2 linked regions of the Drosophila melanogaster genome follow. The protein of the gene in region 1 purifies or fractionates together with the protein of each later gene. This does not show direct contact. Each region holds a gene or a part of one and is shown on either strand. Other genes may lie near its edges.

What was found. Proteins that work in one complex are often made in the same cells at the same time.
Region 2: the proteins of stck (region 1) and parvin purify together in Drosophila melanogaster (affinity purification with mass spectrometry, with the first as the bait; 2 studies listed by BioGRID). This does not show direct contact.

The regions. Positions count from the first base shown.
Region 1 is NT_033777.3:8,354,898-8,362,073, forward strand, and holds stck (steamer duck), read left to right. Parts: upstream 1-3,430; 5' UTR 3,431-3,484; coding exon 3,485-3,507; intron 3,508-3,573; coding exon 3,574-3,693; intron 3,694-3,751; coding exon 3,752-4,057; intron 4,058-4,111; coding exon 4,112-4,253; intron 4,254-4,309; coding exon 4,310-4,568; intron 4,569-4,632; coding exon 4,633-4,829; 3' UTR 4,830-5,063; downstream 5,064-7,176. Other genes in the region: veneno, read right to left, coding at 5,198-5,349, 5,404-5,609, 5,667-5,845, 5,903-6,784, 7,011-7,176.
Region 2 is NC_004354.4:19,744,273-19,748,958, forward strand, and holds parvin (parvin), read left to right. Parts: upstream 1-1,768; 5' UTR 1,769-1,916; coding exon 1,917-2,037; exon of another isoform or gene 2,038-2,215; intron 2,216-2,369; coding exon 2,370-2,459; intron 2,460-2,538; coding exon 2,539-2,810; intron 2,811-2,977; coding exon 2,978-3,598; 3' UTR 3,599-4,186; downstream 4,187-4,686. Other genes in the region: Rpp20 (ribonuclease P protein subunit p20), read left to right, coding at 257-409, 483-833; CG33932 (uncharacterized protein), read left to right, coding at 835-1,281; Alr (augmenter of liver regeneration), read left to right, coding at 4,641-4,686.

The DNA.
Region 1 (7,176 bases):
TTTTTTATGCAACGCGACCGCATATTTGGAATTTTTTATGTCGTGCCCAGAAACCGACCAAAAAGATGAATGGACGAGCTTGGAAGCTCAGATTTTAAGCTTTTTCCCGCAGCTGCAATCGTTTTGAGCTCTAAAAGAGAAACCCACGTTTTCACAGAGCCGTCTGAAAGTAATGAGAGCCATATAAATAAAATATTTGGTCTAGCTAGAAAACATCATCAGATCAAAAAACCACTTGGCTAGTTTCCAGAACTTTCTAAATAGATCAAAGATCCAATTGTTATTACATATATACTACATTAGTTGCAGTTGATAACACTATCGAAACATTGCTGCAATGCATTGAAATGACATTGAAAATGATTAAATGGAAAACCCCCTTGAAAAAATTTCAACTGCTTCTCTGCCAGCACCAGCACCAGTTGTCCATCTGGTTTGCCGGCTTTGGAACGCAGCTGCAATAATACAGAGCATAATTGCATTTATTTTTAGACACCCACTGCAACTGCACTGCATCCGCTGAAAGTTTCCACATTCCACGCCGATTTCCATATGCCTCAGCATGTTGCTCATACGCCCGAGTCACCGCTTGAATGTGGATGGGGGGCTTGCCTTGGCGAATTTTTGGTAAACAACAGCATAAAATCATGCGTAATAAACTTACAGCTACGCGTTGCTACGTGCCGAAAGTCTCGCAGTTCCCCGGCTTCCAGGTTCCACCACCTTTTTCCAAGCGTGTGACAGTGAATACTGACAAAAAATGTATTTGTATCTAAAAAATGGAAGCCAAACTGTGTCAGAGCAAACGTTCAAAAGAACTAAATTCTGGATGAGCGTTAAGAATATACGTTAAAATACACAAATTTATTTGTCAACAGCATAATTTAATAGTTAAGTAAGACATATGCTGTAATATGGGGTTACATTTTTTTCAGTGCTAGATTGTGGATGGTATTGGATCTCTTTCTTATGACGCTTGTTGTTCGTTCGTCTCGCTCGCACAACCGGCGGCCTTGTGGGGACACCTTGTTTTTTTTTTGTTATGCTGGAAAAAAACTCATTTAATAATAATAAATAAAGGCGACTGACAAAAGAGTGAGATTGATAAACAAAGAGCGCCGCGCTGATCGATTCGCTTGGCAACCCGTTTTAACGGGACAACGCTCCATAAAACACCAGCCAATACAAAACTATACTATATATACTCAGATACAAATAAAGCAAATTCTGAAACTGCAGCTGGAGTTTTATCTCCGTTCACATCGCGGAAGTCGGCGAGGGGTGTTTCAAAAATATGACCCTCACACCCACGAGGCGGAAGTTTGCCGCAAACAGACATTCGGGAAAATAATTAAAGCAAACAAATAATGCATTTACATGCATGTTCCGTGGGCACATCAAAATGCTGGCTCTTTGTAGAGAATTTTAAATTATTGGCGATCGGGAATTATATGAAAAAATAACTTACACCTGTAAAACTTTTCTTTTCCTTTTTGTTGCTTAAAAAGAAACTCATTTCATAGTGATTGTGGGTTTCATAGCAAGTTTACAAGCTCTTGATTCTCTTATCAATACATATTTTCTAATGATAAGTATCAGCGAAACTGTTATGACATTTGTGGCATTGAATTCTTTTATAGTTTCCCTGCACATTTATTTATGTATTTCCCCAATTGGCGTGTAACATAGCAAAAAGAAAATCAATCAAATTCAATGCTAAAGGGATTTCTTGCCTGCAGCCTAAATTGGCATGCGAACCGGTCTTGTTTACAAACAAATAGTACGTGAAATTATAAGTAGAGGCAGTAAGCTGATAAGAGCGCGTTACGAAACTGTTTCGAAGAAGAACAGCAGTTGGCCAGCAGCTGATAAGAAGGTGAGACAAAGAAGCAAAAATGCCACGCTGCGATAAGCGTGGCGCCTTAAATCGTAAAGTTCTTTTAACTGATGTATTTCGGTAACATAGGCTAATAGCGAATTTAAATTGGCGCCCAGTAGTATTGGGTGTTTATCGATTGACATTCAGGGCTACCTGCCTCGAGAACAGAAGAGCTATCGATAGGCAGGTTGTACAGGGATTTTTTAGTGATAAAGTAGAGTGGTTTTTTCTGCGTCTTTTTCCACGGAAGCTGTTAGTTAAATGAAAAGTAATTTAATTGCAGCAAACTGTGGCTTTAATTAAAAAGGTTTCTCTGAAGGTAAAAAGTACTTTTTCCGTTGAATGCAATTCTTCAAATGTGAACATGCTTAAGTGAAACGCGTGAAATTCCAGAGATTTGCCCATTTTGGCAATATAGGTGTTGTTGTTTTTGTGCTGCGATAGCGCTGCGCAGATCGTCTTCTTGGCTGAAAATCAACCGGATCTGGCTAGAAGGCCGCCAAGCGAGCAGAGCTTAAAGCCAAAAGACACAGATTGATCATTTCTATATGTTTTTGCAGTGTTTCACTCGCCGTGATCAGAAAACGTTGTACACCAGGTGCAACAGGTGCCGTTGTTCGCAAGTGAAAACCAGTTGAAAGCAACTAAAAAAGAAAAGCCCACAGAATGCCGCCCGTGCAGTAAGCAGAATGTTCCGCCCCACTTTCTTAACGTCCTTGTCTTCAAAACGCCCACATATTGCATCATTTGGCAGCATAATAATCATCGTTATCCATTCGCACAAATAAGCATTTCGCTAATTAATAAAAAAATATAACTAATTCAGGCTAGCAGTGCCTATCATTCATGCCCTAATCCAGCGTTAACCCTCTGCCAGTGATGGTGGTGCTTTGGACCCCCATTCAATGCAATTTTCCTGCCAGATGTTTACTCCATCGATGACGTCATGGTCATATTCAAATTTATTTTTAAACGCCGCCACTCGAGTGTGTGTGTGTGTTTGTGCGAGAGTGCGTGTCTGTGTATTGTTTACTCTTCGTATTTTTGTGTGTATTCGTCGGATTTGATTATGATGAGTGGGCCGCTGTTGTGTTGGCGGCAAACCCAATTCCAATTGGATGCTTGAATTTGTAACCCCTTTTGGAGGCCAAGGAATGTTCAATGACTCAACCAGTAATGGGGAGTTGATAGTTACATCTTATTATATATATTGTTTATATACAAACTTTTCAAATGGCGCTCCTGCTTGTAATAATTACTTCAATTACTCATTATAGCCATTCATTGTTATCCAGCTTAAAGCGAATATGATAGTTCTTCGTATATATTTTATATATGTATATATAACCTGTTCCGAAACGATATATCACCAAGCCATCACATCTGCAGCGTATCACGCTTGATATCCAACTGCCATGCGACACTCTCTGTAATGAAAGCTAAACTTCCACGGAATGCCAGAAAGCTTTTTGGCTGTGCATTCGAAGGAAATATGATTCAGACATCGTCAACAGAGCCGGCAAGCGATAAGTCTCATTGTTTTGTCCAGTTTCTCATTTCACGCCCTGCCCTAAAGTCGTTTTTCTTTGCGCTCAAGCTATAACCATGATGTACTCTAAGGCTGAAGTGTAATGGCCTCTGAATTGGTTAGTTACTTACCAACAACTGATCCTGATCTTCTTCTTAATTCACAGAGTCCAGGCAGCGAACATGTCGCTGGGTGCCATGCATTGTACGCGATGTGCCGACGGCTTCGAGCCGACTGAGAAGATTGTTAACTCCAATGGAGAACTCTGGCACACCCAGTGCTTCGTGTAAGTAAACCTCAATGTAGTTGTTTCACTAATACCCTCACTAATAAACATTTTCTAGATGTGCCCAGTGCTTCCGACCCTTCCAGGATGGGATATTCTACGAGTTCGAGGGCCGTAAGTACTGTGAACGCGACTTTCACGTGCTCTTCGCTCCCTGCTGCAACAAGTGCGGCGAGTTCGTCATCGGACGGGTCATCAAGGCCATGTCAGCTAGCTGGCATCCACAGTGCTTCCGCTGCCAATTGTGCGCCAAGGAGCTGGCTGATTGCGGATTCATCAAGAACCAGAACCGCGCCTTGTGTCACGAGTGCAATGCCAAGGTGAAGGCGGAGATTACCGGCCGCTATGTATGCCAAAAATGCCAGTAGGTTTCAAAGGCTTTAGGTGAAAACATGTTGCTAATTACTCTGCTTTTCAGCGGCCTCATCGACGAGGAGCCTTTGCGATTCCGGGGCGAAGTGTACCACGGCTATCACTTCAGTTGCACGGCCTGCGGCACAGAGTTGGATTCCACTGCTCGGGAGGTCAAGAGCCGGCCAGGATTGGCTGCTAACGATATGGTGGGTTTTTTTTTCTTTAGCAAATAAGAAGCAACTGAATTATTATTCCATTATAGAACGAACTGTATTGTCTGCGTTGTCACGATAAAATGGGCATTCCCATATGTGGTGCCTGTCGTCGTCCGATTGAGGAGAGGGTGGTAACGGCGCTCGGAAAGCACTGGCATGTGGAACATTTCGTGTGCGCCAAGTGCGAGAAACCCTTCTTGGGTCACCGACACTACGAGAAGCGGGGATTGGCCTACTGCGAGACGCACTATCATCAGCTCTTTGGCAACCTGTGCTTCGTCTGCAACCAGGTTATTGGAGGCGATGGTGAGTAACTTAATTGAACTATATTCTGGGTTTATTTAATGCGCTCATTCCATAATGCCAACAGTTTTCACTGCCTTGAACAAGGCCTGGTGTGTGCACCACTTTGCGTGCTCCGTGTGCGACACGAAGATGACACAAAAATCGAAATTCTACGAGTACGACGAGAAGCCGGTGTGCAAAAAGTGCTATGACCGATTTCCAAACGAACTCAGACGACGTCTGCGCACCGCCCACGAGATGACAATGAAAAAGAACACCTAATGCCTTGGAGCGAGTCTCAGATCCACACCAAACAGTGCCTTTGTCGTTGTAGACCCGCTTTCACTACCATTTTTAACATTTGAGAAACTAAAACCAAACAAACTAAAACCTCTTGTGCATGTCCTTTCCGTCTGTTGTAATCCGGTTGTGTGTAACTTAAATTTTAAATCGAGAATCAACGGCATCAATAGCTAGGGAACATAACATTGTGTATTAAAAGCCTTTAACGTTGTTATTTAATGGAATTTTATTTATATATAAATGTTTTTAAAATTATAAAACGTAATGCTTATTCGCAATAACTTCGTAATGTGTTTGACCCGATTTAGTTGTGGTGTCAAGTAAATGGCATTTGATGCACTTAAAATTTACAAGCTCAACAGCTTCTGAATAAGACTTCCCGATTTAATTACGGCTATATGGTTGATATATTTGATACTATCAATATGAACTGACTGATGGACCTTCAAAACCTCAGCCAGATAGGAAACCTGTGCTGCATTCGGGTTGTGCGGGAATTCTATAAAGTGTTTGTTCAAATGTTATGCTCAAGACAAATGTTTAATATCCATACCGTCAATCACGCAAAGGTTTGTGGCACAGGGAGCGGTGAAGTCTAATGGATAGCGACGGATATCCATTTCGGTTATGTCCTCTACATTCGTGTAATCGAGGTACATTACCCGGTACTTTGTCTGCTGCCGTGGAACAACTATAATCTGTTCCACTTTGCCACGATACCAGGAACCCTCAAATCTGGCAAGCACATATTCCCTGACACTGTCAAAAATGTTAATTAAATATAAACTTACATTGGTATGGTTATAGTATAGTTACACTGGCTTATAAGGCTCGCAGTCTGTAATTTCTGATAAACGAGAGTGCAAGGCGGAAAATTCGGAGGCGTAGGTGCTGTCAAAGGCCCCAAAAATACCTCGATTTTTTTTTGTACTATCCACAACGATGAGATCAATGCCTTCCTTAGATTCGATTGAAAATCTACGCATCTCAAAAGGCTAATAAATAAATTAATAAAATGTGGCTCTCAATGAGAATTTATATTATCAACTCACAGGTTTTAGGACATGTTCGTTTTTCGACATTACGATTCCATTTGTTTGGGCATTAGTTTTATGGATAACGGGAAGTTCCAAATTTTTTTTATGGTTTGGAAGTTGTAACGGATAATTAGCTTTTGGTGTTAAGCATTGTGTTAAGGAATGTTTTACGTCTTCATCTTTAGGCTTTGGTGCAGTGTCCTGATCAGTTTTAGTTGCCTTATCAGCAAGATCAATAAAGCCAAGCATCTTATTAGAGGCTCCTTCTGTAACCAGTACATTAGTTGATTTTGATTGATCAATTTGTCCGGAGTTCTGTTGCTTGAGTATCTCCTCACACTCATTCTGTACCTCTGGTTTCGTTAACATTTTCTTACATTCGATTGCAGGAATTGCAATGGGTTGATCAATATGTGAAGGTTGCGGACCTTCTAAGGAACATGACTTGATATTCTCGGCCGCAGAATTAGGGTTTCGTAGCAACTTCTTACTGTTGAAAAATGCGTTTAACTGTTCATTTACCGAAAAGTTCATCTCCGTGTTTACTAGTTCCACGAGGTGTAATCCAGGGCACTTTTTAATGGTTGCCATATATTTCTTGCCCACGAATTTCGAGTTGAAGGCAATGACATCATTGGAATAGTCACAATTCAATACATTCTTGAGCTGCACCAGTTGGCTGGAACAGGGCAATGCTTTTAACTCATCATTGATATCCTTAAAATCGAAAAAAGGTCCAGAATGTTTGATTCCAAGATCGACCAAAAATAAGTGGGAAACCTCACGGAGCTTCTTACACATCTTCGCTCGCACATACATGCCATTAAAGTGGACTAGGCACAATCTATTTGGTGGTGGATTTTTTATTCTGGGCAATAACGTAGCTATGGTATTAACCTGTGAAGATACAACACTTTTTAATTCGAAATAGTCTCGTCAACAGTAGAATTAGAAAAAAAAACTCGATTTGCTAGTATTTAAGTATCCAAATAGTATACAGTTTTACACGCAACACTATTTCTTTGATAATATTCATTTATAGAATTTGCTATCATGCACGCATTTTACTTCTAATTTAGGAATTTTCTTGGATTGAAGAAATTTGACTCCATATATAACAAACCTTCTTGCAAACTTCGTCAAACGCTCTTTCAGCAGATTCGCTGGCATCGCGAATATAGCAACGATTACTGGATATGAAGTCCGTAATGTATACCATAGCACCGCTGGGCGGGATGATCGCTTTTGGCGGAGAAACGGGAATATCATCTTTGGCTGCAATGATGCTG
Region 2 (4,686 bases), on another chromosome or scaffold:
CGAGAGTACGACGAAAAATTTTCAACTGGCGAGAATCTCACGAGCCTGGCGATAGCTATAGCGATGGGCTGGCTCAAAACTATCGAGAGCTGTCACGGTGACAGCTAGAGCCAGGCTGCCAGATCGCTCAGCTATTGCCTAGTGTTCGCTAGAGTTGGCCAGTGTTGGCCAGCGTGCGATTCGGAATGGAGTCGCGAGTCCGAAACTGCGACACGCGCAGGTAAATGGAAAACACAAGTCGCCTCCTCCGCCGCTGATGATGGGAAGCAATTATCCCGAGCACGGGACCAAGCCGAGATCCGCCAAATACCACAAACAACAGAACCACCGAGTGGTGCGCAAGCAGCCGCCGCGTCCCGCTGTTAGCGACCGCCACAACATCTACATCACCAGCAAGACAGACTTTAAGGCAAGTAGAACTGAACTCATGCTGGATGGTGAATCGCCCATGTGCTAAGTGACAGAGTCCATCTCCTTGACAGGCCCAGCAGCGCCGCTGCGAGGAGCTGATTAACTCCGGCGCCCACGAGATCTTTCTGCATTGCATGGGCTTCTCCGTAACCCGCGGCCTCAATATCGCCCTACGCCTCGTCCAGAATTCTGACGGCGCCCTTAGCTACGCCATCAACACCTCCACCGTTCAGCTGGTGGACGAACTGCACCCGCTGTGCGATGCCGAGGACATAACCTTCCGCCAGCGCAACAACTCGGCCCTGCACATCAAGATCCTCAATAACAGTCTCTTCGACATCGCCGTGCCGCAACCGTCGCAGTCCCAGACGCAAGCCCAGTCCCTGGGCCAGTTCCGAGGCAAGGCGAAGGCCAGGCAGTAGCATGTTCAAACTCTCGGAGCTGGTGCGCTGGCTGGGGCTCACCGAGTTCGAGATTCTGGTCAATCTGTGCGGCCTGCTGGTGTTCACCATCACGCTGACCGTCAAGCTCCATCTGCAGGCCAGGGCCGGACCCGGTGGCATACTCCCGGAGCCCATGGGCGACTGGTTCACCGTCTTCAGCCCCCTGTTCTTCATCGACATCTGCAACGCGTACTTTTGCGTCATTGTGGGCATCCGCATGTACCTGGACTCTAACAACAAGCGCAAAGCCCTGCATCGCTTCATGTGGAGCACGTATTTCCTGGTGCTCATCGCCATCTTCAAGTACCTGCTCTGCCTGAAGCTATCCAGCAAGACGGGCCTCGAGTATTCGGAGGTCTTCTCGCCGATCTTCGTTCTGTTGCAGCTCGTGGCTGTGCGCGCCTGCCAGTTGCCCAACTCCATCTAAACCATAGACGTAGTATAGCCCTAGTTCCGTATTATACATATATGTAACTATTCTGAAAGCCTTTAAATCATTGGATTGGTAGTTATCTGTATACGCAATGTGGTACAATAATTTTTAAGCGGTACGAAATTTATCTTTCTGGATATAGCATATCTAATATATACGAATTATATCTGATCTGATTCGGTATGAAGGACATACATACATACATATGTTGTTGTGCTTTTTAATCAATGATCTAATGATCTACGCATTATAATTTTTTTAAAATTTCCAACAATTTAATTTGATGTACAAATTCAAAAACTATTAAGCTGATATGAATTTCTTCTAGCTGTTGTTGTCAAAAGCCACATTTTTTTTAAATTATAAATGAAAAATAACATTTAAGCTCATTGTTTTAATTTAATCTAAGGTCTTTTTAAACAATTTTTATAATTGGCAATTTAGTTTTTATTCGATTTTTTTGGAAGTTTCTCTTGAGTCCGAACGCCAGTGTTGGACAACATGTGTGGTGGGCCTGCGATCAGGTGGCAGCCCCAAGGGAAACTGATTGCTCAGCTCCGCCCGAAACGAATCGAAACAATAACACAAACTGTTCACTTAGTCCGGAATTCTTGGAATCCAGCAGCACCATGTCCACACTGAACCGCCCTAAATCCCCGCACACGCCCACCGCCATTAAAAAGGGCGAGAAGGAGGACAGCTTCTGGGACAAGTTCAGCACTTTGGGCCGCAAACGCGGCACCCGCGAAGGTAAGTCCACTTGATGATTGGAGCTCTCCAGATGGCTATTGTCGGCCAGGAATTGATGGGTATCCCAGAGTATTCCATTCTTGGACCCCTGAACCTCCGAAAAGTGGCCCAAAATGACCCAATGGATCCTCCCCCTGCGCACTGGAAGCTCTTCTGGGAACAGATGTGCGGATGCGCTGATTAATCAGAACATTGCGTCACTGTTGACCCACACAAGCAAACGGCGCTGATAATCGAGAGTGTGTGCGTTTGTGTGAGATGGCCTTGTGTCGTCACCGTTTTTGTTTACCTTGTTGATACCCTAAATACGCATCCGCTTGCTCCATTTGCAGTGAAGAAGGTCCAAGAGGAGGGCAAGTACGCCATCGACTCGCCTGGATCGCCCAGCCAGTATGACATCCCGCCGGAGGACTATGCCCTGCGTAAGTGCATTCGTTTTGAAGGGGCATCTCCTCGTATACCCATCGCATTTCCCACAACTCATCACATTTGATCCTACAGGCGAGCACGAACAGCGCGCCGTCATCGATCCACAGTCCATCAGTGATCCCCAGGTGATAAAGCTGCAGCGCATCCTCGTCGACTGGATCAACGACGAGCTGGCCGAGCAGCGCATAATTGTTCAGCACCTGGAAGAGGACATGTATGACGGCCAGGTGCTGCACAAGCTGTGGGAGAAGCTCACCGGCAAGAAGCTGGACGTTCCTGAGGTCACCCAGTCAGAGCAGGGCCAGCACGAGAAGCTCAACATCGTCCTGAAGGCCGTCAACCATGTAAGTAGTAGTAGTTTATGTTTTGCAGGATTTAAAAATCGGAGTTACCAACATTTAATTATTTATCCATTCTTAAAGTCGAATAGAATAATTTTTATTCGATTTACAATTAACATTCCCTTTTCTCGCGATATAAGAATAAATTTTATCCTTGCCCACACCCACAGACACTCGGCTTTCACCAAAAGATTCCCAAGTGGTCGGTGGCCAGCGTGCACTCGAAGAACATTGTGGCCATATTACATCTGCTGGTGGCACTGGTGCGTCACTTCCGGGCGCCCGTTCGCCTGCCAGAGAACGTGTTCGTGACCGTCGTGATTGCGGAGAAGAATGCGGGCGTGCTGAACGCGCAGAAGTTCCAGGAGCAGATAACGTCCGAGTACGACGACCTGGGCATGCGCTGCGAAAAGGACGCCTTCGACACGCTGATCGACTGTGCGCCGGACAAGCTGGCCGTGGTGAAGAAGTCCTTGATCACGTTCGTGAACAAGCACCTGGCCAAGCTGAACTTTGAGATCAGCGATCTGAACACGGACTTTCGCGACGGCGTATACCTGTGCCTGCTGATGGGCCTGCTCGGTGGATTCTTTGTGCCGCTGCACGAGTTCCATTTGACGCCGCAGGACGTGGATCAGATGGTCAGCAACGTGGCCTTCGCCTTCGACCTGATGCAGGACGTGGGCCTGCCCAAACCAAAGGCGCGGCCGGAGGACATCGTGAACATGGACCTCAAGTCCACCCTGCGCGTCCTATACAGCCTGTTCACCATGTTCAGGGACTTCGCCTGAGTGAAACCCGGATGGAACGAGCCAGCGGGTTGCAGGAGCAACAAGCGGCGCCAATTTTACATTTTATATTAACTTTTTGATAGTGTTTACACGCCTAATTTATGTGCGTTCTCGAAACTGATTGTAGGCGATGCAGCGGTTAAAGCTTACTGATCCTAACTCTCAAAACCACAACTAAATGCTGCGTCGCGTATAATCAGCCCAAGGAATGTTTATATATATATATATATATTTATGTGTCGTACGTCTAACCACTGCGATCTGCTCCAGATTCAGATTGCTCGGAACAGGAAGGAGCAGAGCAGAGCAGAGCTAACCCAAACCCAAAATCCGGCGGCCAGTTGTTAACTTGTCTTACTCACGTGCCAGACGTTGTAGTTGTTACTAAGTGAATTTATTGTATTAATACATTATTTGAACACAATAACCGAGATTGTGCCTTTAGATCACACAGAGCTTTTGCAAATTATGTCACAGATCAGATTTTAACGCTGTAAATGTAGAAGTTTACGGAAAAGTCTTAAAAAAAAATTTTATTGTGTACGTTAAAAATTTGGATCAGAAAAATCAATAAATATTGCCAATAGCATATGTGTTATTCTATTTTAAACAGTTCCAAGGCGCAAAATTTATCTGGGGCTGCAGCACTCACAAACGCCAGCTTCCATCCTATTCACATGTAAGTTCTTTCGAGCGTCTCGAATTGATTGAGAAACAAACCTTAGTAATTTTCTGAACGCTGTGCTATTTGAATTGTCGCGGTTGCGCGCGCAACTCGCAACGGTCTGGTATCGATCACAGCTGCGAGCAGGCTGCCAGATCGCTTCCCGTTCGGGAACGATTTCGCATCGATTTTCGATTGCTGGCCGGTATAATTTGAAAATGTTACTTTGCTGACCGGATTTTGGTCCTTGGCCAGATGTTGGCCATGAATCTAAAAGCCAGTATTTAGTAACTTGCGTTGATTGCAGCCGCTTAACTAAGCCGCTTAGCCAGATATGTCCTAATGTTATGTGTTTCGTTTCGAAACAAGGTGGCAACCATGCGCATGCTTTTTATGATTTTCACAATAGCCGAGCGAAGTTTCA